2 linked regions of the Alligator mississippiensis genome follow. The protein of the gene in region 1 interacts with the protein of each later gene in a pairwise test. Links are inferred from orthologs where the notes say so. Each region holds a gene or a part of one and is shown in the gene's direction. Other genes may lie near its edges.

The links. The genes of interacting proteins can lie anywhere in the genome.
Region 2: the proteins of EEA1 (region 1) and RAB5B interact in binary tests that used the Homo sapiens proteins (3 or more experiments, as listed by UniProt). The link is inferred for Alligator mississippiensis from reciprocal best matches to the Homo sapiens genes EEA1 and RAB5B.

Annotation. Positions count from the first base shown.
Region 1 is NC_081827.1:87,635,758-87,643,006, reverse strand, and holds the start of EEA1 (early endosome antigen 1), read left to right. Parts: upstream 1-4,246; 5' UTR 4,247-4,340; coding exon 4,341-4,364; intron 4,365-7,249. UniProt on the Homo sapiens protein: Binds phospholipid vesicles containing phosphatidylinositol 3-phosphate and participates in endosomal trafficking.
Region 2 is NC_081838.1:6,932,729-6,939,855, forward strand, and holds the start of RAB5B (ras-related protein Rab-5B), read left to right. Parts: upstream 1-4,068; 5' UTR 4,069-4,172; intron 4,173-4,336; exon of another isoform or gene 4,337-4,787; intron 4,788-5,617; exon of another isoform or gene 5,618-7,127. Other genes in the region: CDK2 (cyclin-dependent kinase 2), read left to right, coding at 675-878, 1,149-1,253. UniProt on the Homo sapiens protein: The small GTPases Rab are key regulators of intracellular membrane trafficking, from the formation of transport vesicles to their fusion with membranes.

The DNA of each region.
Region 1 (7,249 bases):
GTGTAATGTCTGTACCTAGCCTAAGTTCACGCAAAAAATATTAGTAAATATCTTGACATACTTAAGGAATGCTTTTTTTTTTCCAGGCAGGTGATAGTCTATCTCCCCTTGCCCAAATTTGGTATAGTAGCCACAAGACACACCAAATATCAAGACAATCTGAGTGAACATGTGAATTTTATAACCTTTGGCCTTTAAATATAAGAGGGTCTTAACTATGACAGCTGGCACTCTAGTCTTTGTTATGCTTAACTTAATTACTAGTAAAATACAGTTTTATTATAGAATTTGATCACTTGCATCCCTTTTTCTTGTTTTCAATCTAAAATGACTGTTTTACTACAGAAAAAGCATTTTTTTAATTGAATAACTTATCCTGCCTTGCATTGCTATTTAGCTGACACCCTGCCAACAACATTCTATTCATTTTTTGTCTTAGCATCAATAAATACAGGGTTTTTCTGTTACTGTTTATTTTTTGGCTATAGAAGCCATCATTTTTGGAATGAAATGGGAAAAAACTATAGCCTCTATTGTATTGTATGGGTCAGATTAATTATCTCTTTCAGCCTTAACATCTGTAGAAAAAGTGTGTGTGTATGTGGTTTTATGTATGTTAAAGAGCAAAGATCAAAGTGAAATGGGGCTGAAAAGATCTTTTTTGAATGCTTTCAAGATCTGGTGATATTTTGCAACATATTTGCAGCTGAGTGCTCAGTTAATGGAGCAATTGCTCACGCAAAATTTCATTTTTGGTTAAAGTTCTAGATAAATTATTGAGATAAAAATATTTTTATATGAATGTGCAACTGCTCATGCAGCTTTATCATGTTTTATGCTTAAAATGGTCTTTAACACATTAACATCAATATCTTTCAGAGCAACTTTGTTCCTTATTTAGAGCATTCAGTGAGGAGTTACTTCAAATTCTCTTTTACAGACCATCTTGTCTCATCCATATAATGGAAAAATGTAGTTTATAAGCGCATTCTTTTGCAGCTGTGGCCCTTATTCCAGGCTAAAGAACTGCCTATTGGCTAATCTTGAAAATAAATTGACAGATAAGCCAATCAGACACAAGGGAGAGGGATTATTTCAGGTCATTCCAGGCAGTTATTTTGCCCCTTCTGCCTCAGTGTACAGAGATATCTGCATCCAGGGTAAAAGACAAAGTGCATTACAAGAAGATGACATTACTGTAAGTCAGAAATATTGGTAATGAGATGGAAGAAAGCAGAACAAGTAAAATAAAATTGTCCATGTAATGTTAAGCCAGATCATGCATTTCCCCCGTATAGTCAATGAACGTTTGTCTTTATAAAGACTGGGGGCTGTAAGGGTTGGCATATAGGATATTAAAATTAGGATTGGATTAAGAAAATTCTAAAGAATCTATTCATCAAGAAGGAGATGGCGTGAGAGATGGAATAAGAACAAAACTCTTCTGCCTCGTTTTTATAGTTTTCAAAGGTGGGCAGAGCAAGTACTCTCAAATGGTTTACAACTGCTAGTGAAGGTTTGGTGGTTTGCCAAGAGAGGCATGTGACTCCAGTCACCCTGGATCTGTCAAGGCAATGTACGCAGAGAACACCATTTGGCAAATAATGTTGCTAGTAGAAAATTAAGTTTGATAAGCTGATTGCAGGATTGAGCAGACAGATTGCAACACAGGGAGAAAGAGCACACAGGGAGAAAGTGTTGGAATTAAAGATACATTCAAATTTGATTTGCTTTCCTTTCTCTGATCAAGGTTTAGTTTGGGTGAGATTTTTTTAACCTGCTGCTTCACAACACTTTATTTGAGAGCAGTGCTTTAGGAAAACCCCCATGTTGCCCTGAGAATTTGAACCCAGGCTTTTTACCACTGAAGAAGTTCCGAAAAGGCTCAATGTTCCTTTGAAGTCAATGGGAGGTAAGTGTTTTTAGCCATAAGCGGGACTAAGCCCCAGGAGAAGCAAACAAGACAAGAACTACATAAAGAATATTCTAAGCTTCCCTCATGCTCCCGTCTGTGATATTATTACCCAGGAATTTTTATCAGTTGCAGAGCGCCTGACTAGTAAAACAGCACCTTTGTGTACAGAACAAGGCATAATAACTTTCATCAGTAGCAAAAGCTATAGTTAAAGGACTACAACTCAGCTTTCATTGCAAATTTCAGTGTTTCAAATACAGACCAATTAGCCATCTGCAATAAGAGATTCTGAAGGATTTTATTTTAAAACTAAGAAGTGTGCCACCAAATTACTGCTTATTTTTCTTGCATAGCTTATCTCCGTAAATTCCTTCTAAAGTATTGAGCGGAAAGTAAGGAAACAATTAAATTACATTTCTTTCCTTTTTCATTTGCTGCTTTAGAGATGAGACACCACTGGGTAAGCAAAGAGCGGAGGGGGGGGTGCATGCTGACAAAAATCTGGAATAAATATAAACATATTAATTCAAAGTAAAGGAAATAATGAATCAAGAGTTTGAAATTCAGCAACGTTTTAAAATAATGAACATGGGAAAAGAAAAAACCTGCTTTGACAACTATATTATTATTAATACTAGTTAGCCAGATTCTAATACTATGAAATAAGGTTACTGCAGTCTCTTTCATTAGGAGCTATTAGTCTGTTGATTAAAGGGTGGGGTGGCAAAATAGCTAAGGCAGTGGTTCTCAGCCTTCTTAAACCTGAGGCCCCTCCTCCTCCCCTCAGAAAATGCCAGCTCTTAGCTTTCTCTTATCTCCTAACTATGGAAAAATGATCGAGCAGTTTCTTTGGTTGGAAAGAACTCTGAAAGACCACAACAGATCAGGAAGTTTGTGACACAACAGACTCTTGCTTGAAATCTCTGGGTTTATTTTGAGGCTCCCATGTAGGAGTTTGCACCCATAAAAATATCTCACAGCAACCTGGTTGAGAATCACTAGAAATCTTAATGTAGTCCTAGGCCTTCAATGCTGGAGGCGAACTGGACAGGGTGGGAGAGTGGGGAGCCCTGGTTGCCCTGCTCACTCTCCCTTTCAGCCTCCACTCTCTGCCAGGGTGTGACATGGGGCTAGTTGCATTGCAGTGGAAACGTGGGCCAATGTCCACCATGTAAAGCTGAATGCCTCCCTTAATTTGGGGGCCCATTGAGTGATTACTGGGGACAACTGAATAAAACAGGGATGGGCGTGAAAGTCAGAGGTTCAAAATGAGCACATCAAGGTGCACAAGCGACTGGTAGGTGGGGCACGTGCCCCCCCAGATTGGCCACCAACTCAGCACCGCTTAGGATGGGGCAATTTTTTTGCCGTGCGGGCCAGCCATGTCTTGGTGCTGGGGGGGATTAAGCTGTGGCACAGAAGTATAGGAGTGGATATACGGGGCTTTTGGCTCGCCCACAAATTGTCTGTCCCACGCTCTGGAGGCACCAGTCACCCCTGTCAAGGTGGGAAGGCGCTAGTGCCAGTGCCCACTGCCCTCCAATTAGCCCAAGGAGCCAGGGGGCACTGCCCAGTGACACAGTCCCCAGAGACATAAGCACACCAAAGGCAGGAAAATGACCCTGCAATCCCAGGGGGTCCTGCGGCCTGATGCCCTTCCTGGTCAGGCACAGGGGACTGATGCCTCCCGAGTCTGGGGGGCGCCAGATTGCCAAAGGGTGAGGGGCCGGATGACGACCCCCAGTGGCCGATCGCTGAGCCAGCAGCAAAACTGGAGGTGCGTGTCCAGTTTCACGGCTGGCGCTTCCAGGGGGCGCGTGGCCGATCTCACTGTGGTCAGGGCAAGCTTGGCAAGGGCCAGGAGGAGGTTGACCAGGCCTTTTGATGTGTCACTGGGCAAGCGTGGGCCTCGGCCCACCACGTAAAAGCTGTAAGGCCGCATCGGTGATGGGGCCACTAAAGGCGTATCGCTGACTTGTGGGGCAAATAAGAAACGTAACAGCCGGAGCGCTGGGCACAGCTGTGCAGGCAGTGCGCTGAGGCAGCGCCCAGTGAAACCGCCCAGACCTGCGAGCGGGAAGGGGCCGGGAAACGCCCCGCCCGCCCGCCCGCCCCAGGGCCCACGGCCGGAGCCTCCTCCCGGTTACTATCCGGCAGTGAGGCAGGGCCAAGAGAGGGCTGGCCAGGACGGCCCGGGCGCGCTGCGCGCGGGACTCGGAGCCGAGCGGGGGCAGCGCCACGCCACGCCCCGCCGCCAGGCCCCGCCCGCTGTGCCCGGGCTCCGCCTGCCGGGCGGCGCCGCTGTCAGGGCGCGGGCGGAGCTGGGCCGGGCCGGGCCGGGCCGGGCGCTGCTGCCCCGTGGGCGGCGTGGCGCGGCGCGGCGCGGCGTCCCGTCCCCTGCCCGGCGGGATCCAGCACCGGCACCATGTTCAGGCGGATCCTGCAGCGGGTAAGAGGCGCGCGAGGCCCGGCCCGGCCCGGCCCGGCCCGGCCCCTCCCCTCCCTGGAGGCGCCGGCGGACTCAGGCCCCTTCCCCGCCCGCCTCGGCTGCGAGCCCGCCTGCCCGCCCGGCATGGGGGTGCTGCGGGCCCGGCGCGGGGGCGGGGCTCGGCCGGCGTCCAGCTCCGCCTGAGCTGGGGCCCTCCTGCGTCTGCCCCAGCGCCAGCGCCAGCCCCGCGGCCGCCCCGGGGGCAGGGGGCTCCGCTGCGGCCGCCTCGCTGAGCTCTCCCGGCTGGGGCCGCCCCTCCTCCTGCAAAGCCGGCGCGGTGCGTGGCCGGCGCCTCTTCCCCTCGCCCGGGTTCGGCTTCCTTGGGAGCGGCCCTGCCAAGGTGGCTTCCTGAGTTGGGGTTGCCTTGGCCTGGGGGAGCCGGGGGGGGGTCTTCGTCTGCTGAGTCCGGCTGGGGGAGAAAGAGTCGAGTCACTGGTCTCCGACAGCTCCCCGCAGCTCCCCGGCCCTGTCAGGCGTGTCCAGCTCCCGTGGCATGGACGTGCTGAAAAGCACTTGGGGGGGCTTCAGGTTTCCAGAAGGTTTCGTGTCTCCTCAAAAGAAGGTTTCTGCTGAGGGGAGACAGGCTTTGAAGCAGGGGGTCTAACAACCCTGAGTGGCTTGGTGCCCTTCGACTATCTCGAGTACAGCCCCGGCAGACGGTTGTGCGCAGGGAGGCGGGGTGCACGTCTGTGTTTTGGAGCCCATTGCAGCTGAGGGTGGCAATTCTCACCCAGAGAGCCTGCCACAGCACTCCGGGTTGCCTTCAGATCCTTTCAGGAGTGCCACATAGTATTAGCTCCTTTAAGTTTACAACTGGTAGGTTTACAAATGATTTGTAAGATAAACCCCAAGATTTCAAATGGAAATCCATAGTCATGGTCCTTCTGAGCTCTTCGCAGAAGAAAAAAACCACTCTATTATTTTTCTGTAGGTCAAAAAAAAAAAAAGAGTGAAAATTAAGAGCTGGTTTTCTCTGAGGGCTGCCTCACATCTGCATAGACCTGAGAGACCTTCTAGATAGGGGTGCCACAAGTCTAAAGAAGGTTGAGAAGTCCTGGCTTAGGGCAACCTTAAGCTTCAACAGTGTTTTTGTCATCGTTCCTAAATAGACAGCCAAATCATGCCCTTTTGGAAGTTATTGTTTACAAGGAAGAGTTTCCTTTCTGAAATTTGTTGGAAACCAAATTAGGCAGCAACAAAACTGGAGTGCTGATCCAGTTAAGTATTGTTCATATTAATTAGGTGCATTTGATCTTGGGAGATTACCTGTGTTTGGAACAATTTATTTAATACAGGGAAAACTTTAAGTGATACTGCTAATTGATATTTTGTCCACAATCTAAATTTAATATACGAGATCTATGATCAAAGACAAGACCAATATAAACACCTTACATTTTTTCTGTGTAGACAGTTGTTTTAAAAATGTTTTAGAAATGAATAAATAAGAGACAAGTATAAGTCTCCATGTGGTTTTTGAAACTGAGTATTGTAGCACTGTGGAAAATGAATTGCTATGGAAGCAGAACTGTTAGTGGCTGAGTTGAGGGAAATAAAAGAATGAACAGAAAGACAAGGGCCAGATTTATTTTTAAAGGTATGGCTTGAGAGGGAGCTGTCTAAATGCCTTTAAAAATCTGGCCACAAGGGACTGACTAGACTTCTGAAAACTTTACTTTTTTGATAATCTTGTGTTCCTTAATAATAATAAAAATTGTATAAACAGTCTATGTACGACTTATCCTGGGAATAGCTGCTGGTAGGAGGTCTACACATGACAAAATACGAGGAAGACTCCTGATAGTCATTGGCATTCAAAAGCATCCATCACTCTTTACTTTGTCTTCATACAATTTAAACTTTAAAACCAGAGTCCCCAGAGACAACTCATTAAAGTCTTCTTAGAAAAAAGAACCCACATGGGCCTTTAGTGTGTGTCATTAGCACAGCTGGTCGATAATGAAGGAAATCAAATACACTTTCAGTTGCTGGCACACATTTCCTCATGTGTATTTTAAATCAGTTTTTTGGTTACTTTTCTGGTTGTTATTTGAATTTGGTTAATTCCCTTCTGCCTAAGCCTGACAGTAGCCACTGTTAATGTTATAATTTGAATACTGAAATTATGCACCAAAGGGACACCTTTTTTTATTTTGAAAGTCCTCATTTGCCATAACAATCTTAAAGGCAGCTGCAACTGAGCAGGACCTCACTTTAGTTTTTGAAGTTAGCACCTCCGTGTCATCTGCAACTTGGAACACTTTCTAGGCTCTTTAGTACATACAGACTGTCTACATTGAGTTGATTGTTTCTTAACAGGACCAAGAAACAGCTTCTCTCTTGTCTACCCAGAGCAATTTCTTGTCCAGCCTCATCTCACTGCTGCAGTGTCTTTCTTGACTTCCTAGACCACTCCATTCCTTACCCTCCACCCCCATGTATGTCTATCCAGAATGTCTTACTGTTTTTTGTACCTAGCTATTGTCTCTTGCCTGATGCTTGGATACTCTTTTTAGGGACATCCTTTTCATCTTCTGTCTGCACAGTGGCTAGGATAATAGCACCACGACTAGGGGCTCTTAGGCTCTACAGTAATACACTTAATAAAGATGGGGTATGTGTCATCTCTGAACTTGGAGATTGACCTAGAAGGTGGCATGTTCATCAGCTGTTCATGGCATCCCATGACATTTAAAAGGTGGGGTCAGTGGGAAGAAGTTAAGTCTAGTAGGTCACAGTCCAGCAATTGGATCTACAGAGGTAGACCCTTGTACTCGTATGGAAGTCCATTGACTTCATGGATCTGATTTTTAGCATGGGAACTGAAGACTTTAAGCCTGGTTTCA
Region 2 (7,127 bases), on another chromosome or scaffold:
CGTGGCCGTTGTGGGGGGTGCGGGGGTCCCACTCCGTGGCAGGCAAGAATGGCGGGAGGGAAGATGAGCCTTAATATGAGCAGGGCAGGGCAGCTCCCAGTGCAAGCTGGCTCGGAGCCAAGTCCCTGGCGCGGCCCCCATGCCCCCCTTCCCTCCCCCCCAGCTGGAGCTGCAGAGCTAGGCCCCGGGGCTGTGCTGGGCCAGCAGAGACGTCACAACCGGCCACGCAAAGGGCTGCTGACGCCCAGCAGGGCCCAGGGAAGAAAGGGACCTTGTGGACTGGGGTGGGGTGCAGGCCGCAGCGTGCCAGCCTGGTATTTCCTCCTCCCCAGGGCAGGGGGTGTCCTGGGACCGGGTGCTGGCAGAGAGGGTCACATGGAATGGGGTCCATGTCACATTGCGAGGGGGGGAGATGCTTCCCATGGGATTCGGCTCCATCTGGGCACAGCCTTTCTGGGACCTGGTGTTATCCTCGGCAGCCAGGCCCCCCCCACCCGGCCAGTCCCAGTTCAGCCCCCCGCGAGCCTGCCACCCTAACCCCTGCGCAGAGCCCAGTGTCCGGTGCTCAGCAGATTTCCTCCAGGGAAGGCATTGAGTCTAAGTGGCTCGTCAAGCACCTAGACCTCCTACCTGGCCCCCAGGTGCCCCCCATGGTTTTCTTCTGCCCCTCCCAGATCACCCGCCGAGCCCTGTTCCCTGGTGACTCCGAGATCGACCAACTGTTCCGCATCTTCCGCACGCTGGGCACCCCGGATGAGGCTGTGTGGCCTGGAGTCACCTCCATGCCTGACTACAAGCCCAGCTTCCCCAAGTGGGCCCGGCAGGACTTCAGCAAGGTGGTGCCCCCGCTGGACGAGGAGGGCAGGAAGCTCTTGGCTGTGAGTAGTCCGCTACTGGGCCCAAGGTTCGAGGCTCTGGGAGAGCAGGGTCAGAGCTGGTGCCTGGCTTGCCCAGAAGGAAACTAACTTTCTAGTCCCCTCTGTGCTGGGAGCAAACAGGCAGGAGGAACAGCAGGAGAAACCGGGGCTGGGGGAGCTCACGTGCCAGCTCTGGCTCTTAGCATTTTGGGGTGGTGGAGAAGGAGAGTGCAACCCAGCTGGGCTCCCTCGGTTGCCTGGCCTAACCCGCCTCCCCCCTCTCTTCCCCAGCAAATGCTGCACTACGACCCCAACAAGCGCATCTCGGCCAAGTCAGCGCTGGGCCACCCCTTCTTCCGGGATGTCACCAAAGCCGTGCCACACCTGCGCCTGTGAGGCCGCCCCGGGGCAGGGAGCCAATGCCCAGCCTCACCGGAGCCTTTCTCCCTGCCCCTTGCTGCCCAGCTCTGAACTGACTGTGGGGCCCAGAGGGGCCGGGGCCTGACCAGCTCCCACCCTGGGTGCAGGTCCTTGCCCTCGGCGTGGATCAGGCTCTGATGCTGGCAGCAGGGCTCCTCTCCTGTCGCCTTTCCCAGGATCTGCCCCCCTCGTCCCAAGGGCCTTTCACTGGGTTCCCCCCAGCCGCAGCAATTGCTCCGCAGTGACAGGCAGGAACTGCCATGGACCCAGCAAGGAACGGATCCCGCTGCCAGCACCAGCAGCTGGGCCCCTAGGGCTCCTGCCCAGCCTCCGCCTTCCTCTGGCAGGATCGGTCCCTCCCTGTATATCTGCACTGGACCCAGGGGGGTGGCCTCAGTGCTGGGTCTGGCTGCCTCCATGGCAAAGGCAGGGGGTGGGGTGCCCCCCCATACACGTGAAGCTCACAGCTTCTGTGCCCAGAGGCTGCTGGCCTCATGAACTCAGATTGGAGCGAGGGGCAGGGGCTGCTGTGAGCACCACATCCAGGGGGCTTGTCCGTGCCCTGCTATAGCAAATAAGGGAAGAGGTGGGGAGCAGCCCCAGCTGGAGTAACTGTTTCTCCTTGCTAGCTGCTCAAGCGTGGGCCAGAAGCCACATCTCCCTTGCTGGGCACGTGATCCTTCCCCTGGAGCTGGCCTCTTGGTGCTTCCCTCTCTCCAGGGAACAGAGCCCTTTCTCTGACCCCTTGCTGAGCAAGAAAGGCAGGGCCCGGACTGAGCTCCAGATCCAATGGGAACCTGCCAGAGCTAAGGACCAGCATCAGTGCGCACCTGGCGCCAGCAGGAGGGCTGATTCCCAACACAAAGCTCCGGCCCCCTGGTCCTCAGAGCTACTGGAGGGATCGGCAGCAGCTGGGATGGGACTGCTGGCGGCAGCTGGGAGCACAAGGCGCCTCGCGGGGCAGCATGTGCACAGCGTGGTGGGGGGGCGGGTTTTAAAGCAGTTTGTACAGAGTTGATTAGAAAAAGCACCTTGGCCTTTTTTGTAAACGAAGCTCTTTTTTTAAGGCAGATGAGCCCTGTCGAGTAGTTTTGCCTCTGACTCTGTCTTGCCGAGTTTTCATACCAAGCGTCGCGTCTTCTGTACCGAGTTCACGGATCATTAAAAGATTTTCTGCGTTTTAGCCCTGCCCGCAACCAAGGGTTTATTTGCAGAGGCTGAAGCCCAGGTGCTGCTCCTTGCCCTGGCTGCAGTGTTAGCCAGGGCCTTGGGGCTCCACCGTGCTGCGGGCTTTCCGGGAGCCACTCCAGGGAGGTCACCGAGGCCTAGCAGCAGTTCCCGTGGAAGTGATCAGACCTGGGCTTCAAATGCCCTTGGGTCTTCAGCTCTCGGGAATGCGGGTGGCTGGTCACCTAGAGCACAGGGCCAACCCACATCCATCCCCCCAGGGCACTGGGTGTAGGGAGGGGGGGTCTGAAGTCAGAACTGGGGTCAAGAGCTGGGGTTTGGAGTGGGAGACAGGAGTGAGACCCGTCCCCCTTGCCCCTACAAGGCTGCAGTGAGCCCAGAGCCGAGGACATGGGAGAAGTCCTGTGTTCCTCACAAGGATACGCCCCCACTGCAGCTCCTTGCCCCCCTCCAGGCCGGAGAAAGCGGCCCAAGGCCCCAGGGCAGCAGACACCTGCTTGTATAGGGGACTGGAGGCTGCGCAGGCTCCATATACGGCTTCTGGGGCTGACTCAGCCAGGCAGGAGCGTGGCTGCCAGACCGAGCCCCTGGGCCCTGGCAGCACCCCAAGCTCCTGGGCCAGGGGTGCGTCTTTGGGGCTGGGCCCAGGACCCTGGCCTGGGACTGCCGCACCCCAGACCTGGCTGTGCTGGGGCCTCCAGGGCTCGGGCCTGCTTCCTACTCCTGGCCTTTAAGCCCGGTCCCTTACCCACGTGCCCCGCCCCTGTCCACCGGCACTCTGGACATAGGCCCCGCCCCACCCCGTAAGCCCCGCCCAAATTGCAGTTCCCCTTGTATAGGTCACGCCCCTACCCACGAGCCCCGCCTCTTGGCAACAGACCACGCCCCGTCCACAAGTCCCGCCCAAAATTTAGCCCCGCCCTTTCCCTGTGGGCCACGCCCCTGTGGTCCAGGCCAACTCCCTATGCCCCCACTTGGCCCCGCCCCCAGGGCTGGAGTCAGCTTCAGCCTCAGCTGAGCTAATTAGCAGTAATACAATTGAGGTTAAAGGTTAAAATTCTCGCGGGGGCACCCGCTCATGGCCCTCCCTCACACGCCTGTCCATCATGCTCCAGCCCGTCTCTGATTGGCGCTAAAAGAGGCCTGGGCGGCCTTGGGCCCGCCCAACAAGGGGGGGAGTTTGGGTCCCCTGTCAATCAACTCCTACTCGCTCTTTGAGTGGTCGAAGCGGTGCCCTTTTGCCTTGTGATTGGGCAGCGGCGAAGGCATCCCGAGAACTGATTGGTCAGTGTCCTATTGAGTGCCGCCCATTTAGGTCACCTTATTTGTTGTTGATGAAGCCCCCGAAGTCACAGCCGCTCCCATTGGCCTCCTCTTCCGTCACTTAACCTAAGATCCACCCCTTCACGACGCCTACCCTTTCTATTGGCCAACCGCTCTCACCCTCTCCCCGTTCGCCATTGGTCCGATCCCGCTGCCCGTCCCGCCAGTTCTCACCGCTCATTAGTGCGCCGGACCGTGGTGGTCTGACGCAGAGCGCCATTGGTCGGCAGGCCTGGAGGAGGCGGTGCCAGCCTTCAGGTGCCCGGCGCTTATTGGCTGCGCCGCCCCTTATCCCCGCCCGGCGGAGGAGGGTTTGGTTGAGCAGCTGTTTGTGTGCTCGGCGCTGGGGCCGCGACGGGGGAGTCTGCGCCGCTGCCGCCTCCGGTATTGGGGCGGGGGGGAGGGGGTTTTCTGGGGGTGGGGTCTGGGCCGGGGCCTGGGGGGGGGGGCTAAGGGGCCTGGGCCCGGGGGTAAGAGGGGGCGGGGCTGAGGTGGGGGCACGTGAACCTACGGATCATTATTCCCCCCAGCTCAAGGGGCAGTGCCACCCCCCCGGGTCATTGCTCCCCCAGCTCAGGGGGCAGTGCCCCTCTCCGCACGAATCATTCCCTCTCCCCCCAGTTCAGAGGGCACTGCCCCCCCGCACGGGACATTCCCTCCTCCCCCCAGCTCAGGAGGCATTGCCCCCCCCCTCCTTTCCAGGGCTTGGATGCCCTTGCCCTCCCTTCCCATGCCCCCCTCCCCCAAATCAGGGGTTGTCCCCCAGGGGTCAAGGCTTCAGGGGTCCCTGCACCCCTACTTGTGCCCCCCATGCCTGGTTTGTGCCAGGAAGTGGCTTCTCTCCATTCCCCGGCTGGGCAGGGCCCCACTTCTGGTCCAGCTGGAGCAGGCAGTGCCTTTTCCCCTTCCCTCCATCAGGGGCTCAGAGGGCTGTGGGCGAGAGGCCAGCGGCGCTCGCAGGTGAAGTGAGGATTTGGGGGCTCTGTTCCCGGGTCTCAGGTGAGCCCCTCCCGGGGGACCCCCCTGCAGGCAGTGGGTAGCTGCTGCTGGGCCTCCTGGAGCCGCACCGGGCGTCCTGGAGATAACACTGCGGGGGTCGGAGCATCTCCCTCTGGAAACGTTGGACCCGGCCCTATCTGGTGCCCTCCCCTCTGGGTGCTTCTGTGCCTCGCTCTTCTTTTAGGGGGTGCAGAAATGGGCTCAACCCCCAGGCTTCCTTCGCAGCTCGCGTTTCCCTTCTTGGTGGTGGGTGCACGGATTTGCTCCCACGGCCTTGCTGCCGGCCCCACTGGATGGCGCCTGGGTCCGGGGCCTCATGCAGGCTCTGGGGGGTGCTCTGGTGGGGCGTCTGGAGCCTGCTGCTCAAGCTGGCGATGCCAGATCCGATCCCTGGTCACGAAGCCTGACAAAGCCATGCACAACTCTGGTTCCTCCCGTGACATCGGCTCTGACGACTTCTGGAGATAGGCCTGGATTTGACCAAATTGCTACTTGTTCGGGCTTGTGGCAGTGGTGAGGAACAGCCTGGTGCTGGGAAGCAGCATCCCCAGGGCAGCAGGCAAGACATGCTGGGGAGCAGAGGATCTTGCCCTTGCTCTGCCTGAACGGGGCCCCAGCGGCGGGTCCCTGCAGCTGTTCCTCAGGGCGTGGATGGACCCCCAGGCTGGAGTCAATGGAATCGGAGGCCCAACGACGTGTGGGTGAAGCAGGAGAGTTGCTACCTGGCCATGGTGACTCCTTCATGTGGCGTTAAGCAACCTGTGGGCAGCGGCTGGGCTGCTGGGGCTGGGGGAGGCTGGTGAGGGGGGAGCGCCACGGAGCTTGAGTGCGAGCAGCAGCTGCCGTGGGGGCTGCTGCTAGGACAGTACCTGGAAGCTAATGAAGATGAGCCTGGCCCCCGCTGAGGCTGGGGTGGGGCCTCGGGGCCTTCCTGCTACTCTGTTAAGAGGGGAGGAAGCCAAGCATATATCTGGGGAACCTGCCTAGATTCACCAGGGACTTGGGGGTGGGACCGGGGCCCATCTCCCAGAGCGAAGAGCCCCACTTCTCTTGTCCCATTGCAGGATATCGCCCGGATCCAGCTGAGGCCCCAGCTTCTCTGCTCTCAGATTCATACATGTTAGGGTCAGAAGGGACCTCAGTAGATCATCTCGTGGTAACCCTCGCTCCAAGAATGCCCATGGACGCTAGTGGCTTGGGCATTGGAAGGGCCGTGCGAGTAGCTGCACCCATACCTGCGGTTTGGGGTGTTTAGGCGCTTGCTCGCTGGCTGGTGGCAATGTTGGGAGCCCCAGGCAGGCCGGAGCCCTGTGCGCTGTTCTGGTGGTGGCTGTTGGTGCCGCAGGCGATTGGGACAGAGGAAAAGTCTCGCTGGCAACAGGAAAGCAGTTAACCCAGGCAGGCTGTTGCAACCCACCTCGGGCTCTCTCGGGAGATGCCCCTTCTCTGCCAGCACAGCTTAGACGGGCCTGCTGCAGCCTCCCAGAGCCAGGGCCGTCGGGGGTGGGGGAGTCTAGCCAGCCCTGCACCTGCCTTCCATTGTGCTAGGAGTTCACTTGCTGTGGGGATCTGCTGCCTCAGCCCACACAGGTTTAACTTGCTCTGGGTGGCAGCAAGGGACACCGTCTCTCCTCGCCCACAGAGGTCAGGTGTGTGAGAGCCTGGCTCCAGGAATGACCTTGACCCCCGCTCAGCTGCTGGGCTGGCGCTGCCTTGGCGCTCCCGCAGCCCCTTGTGGAACGGAAGGGGGTGGATGGTAGGGGAGGAGGTGCAGTTGGCTGCACTTCTCATTGCCTGGTGGCTCCTGATTTTGCTCATCAGACCTGGCTGGTCAGGTGCGTTCGTAGTAGCGGTGGCTCAGTTCACAGCAGCTGCGTTGCACCCAGAAGCGGGTCCTTTCGGAGGTCTGGGCTGCAGCTGGGGGCTGGCGGAGTGAGCTTTGACCTACTAGGAATTGGTTCCCTAGCCAGCAGGGAGACCCGGGGTGAGCGAAGGAAGCTGGATGGACCTGGGCTCCTTGAAGCTGCTTGCTGCTGATTGGTGGGTGTTAGCCCATCAGATCCCAGTGCTGGACACCCTGGATTTAGCAGGTGTGAGCAGCATGGGGACAGCATGCGTCTGTCCCAGCTGGGATCCTGGATCCTTCCTAGCTTCTCATTAGGTGTGGTTGTGCCTAGGGGCCACCCCGGGATGCTGCTCAGTGCTGGGAGAGTCAAGCAGCCTGGTACCAGGGAGCTCACAGATGAAGGAAGGGCTGAGGCCATTGTGGGGCAGGACCTCACTTCCGGGATGGGCCCATGGTGCTTCGCTGCCTGCTGTAATGAATTGGGGAGGCATTGA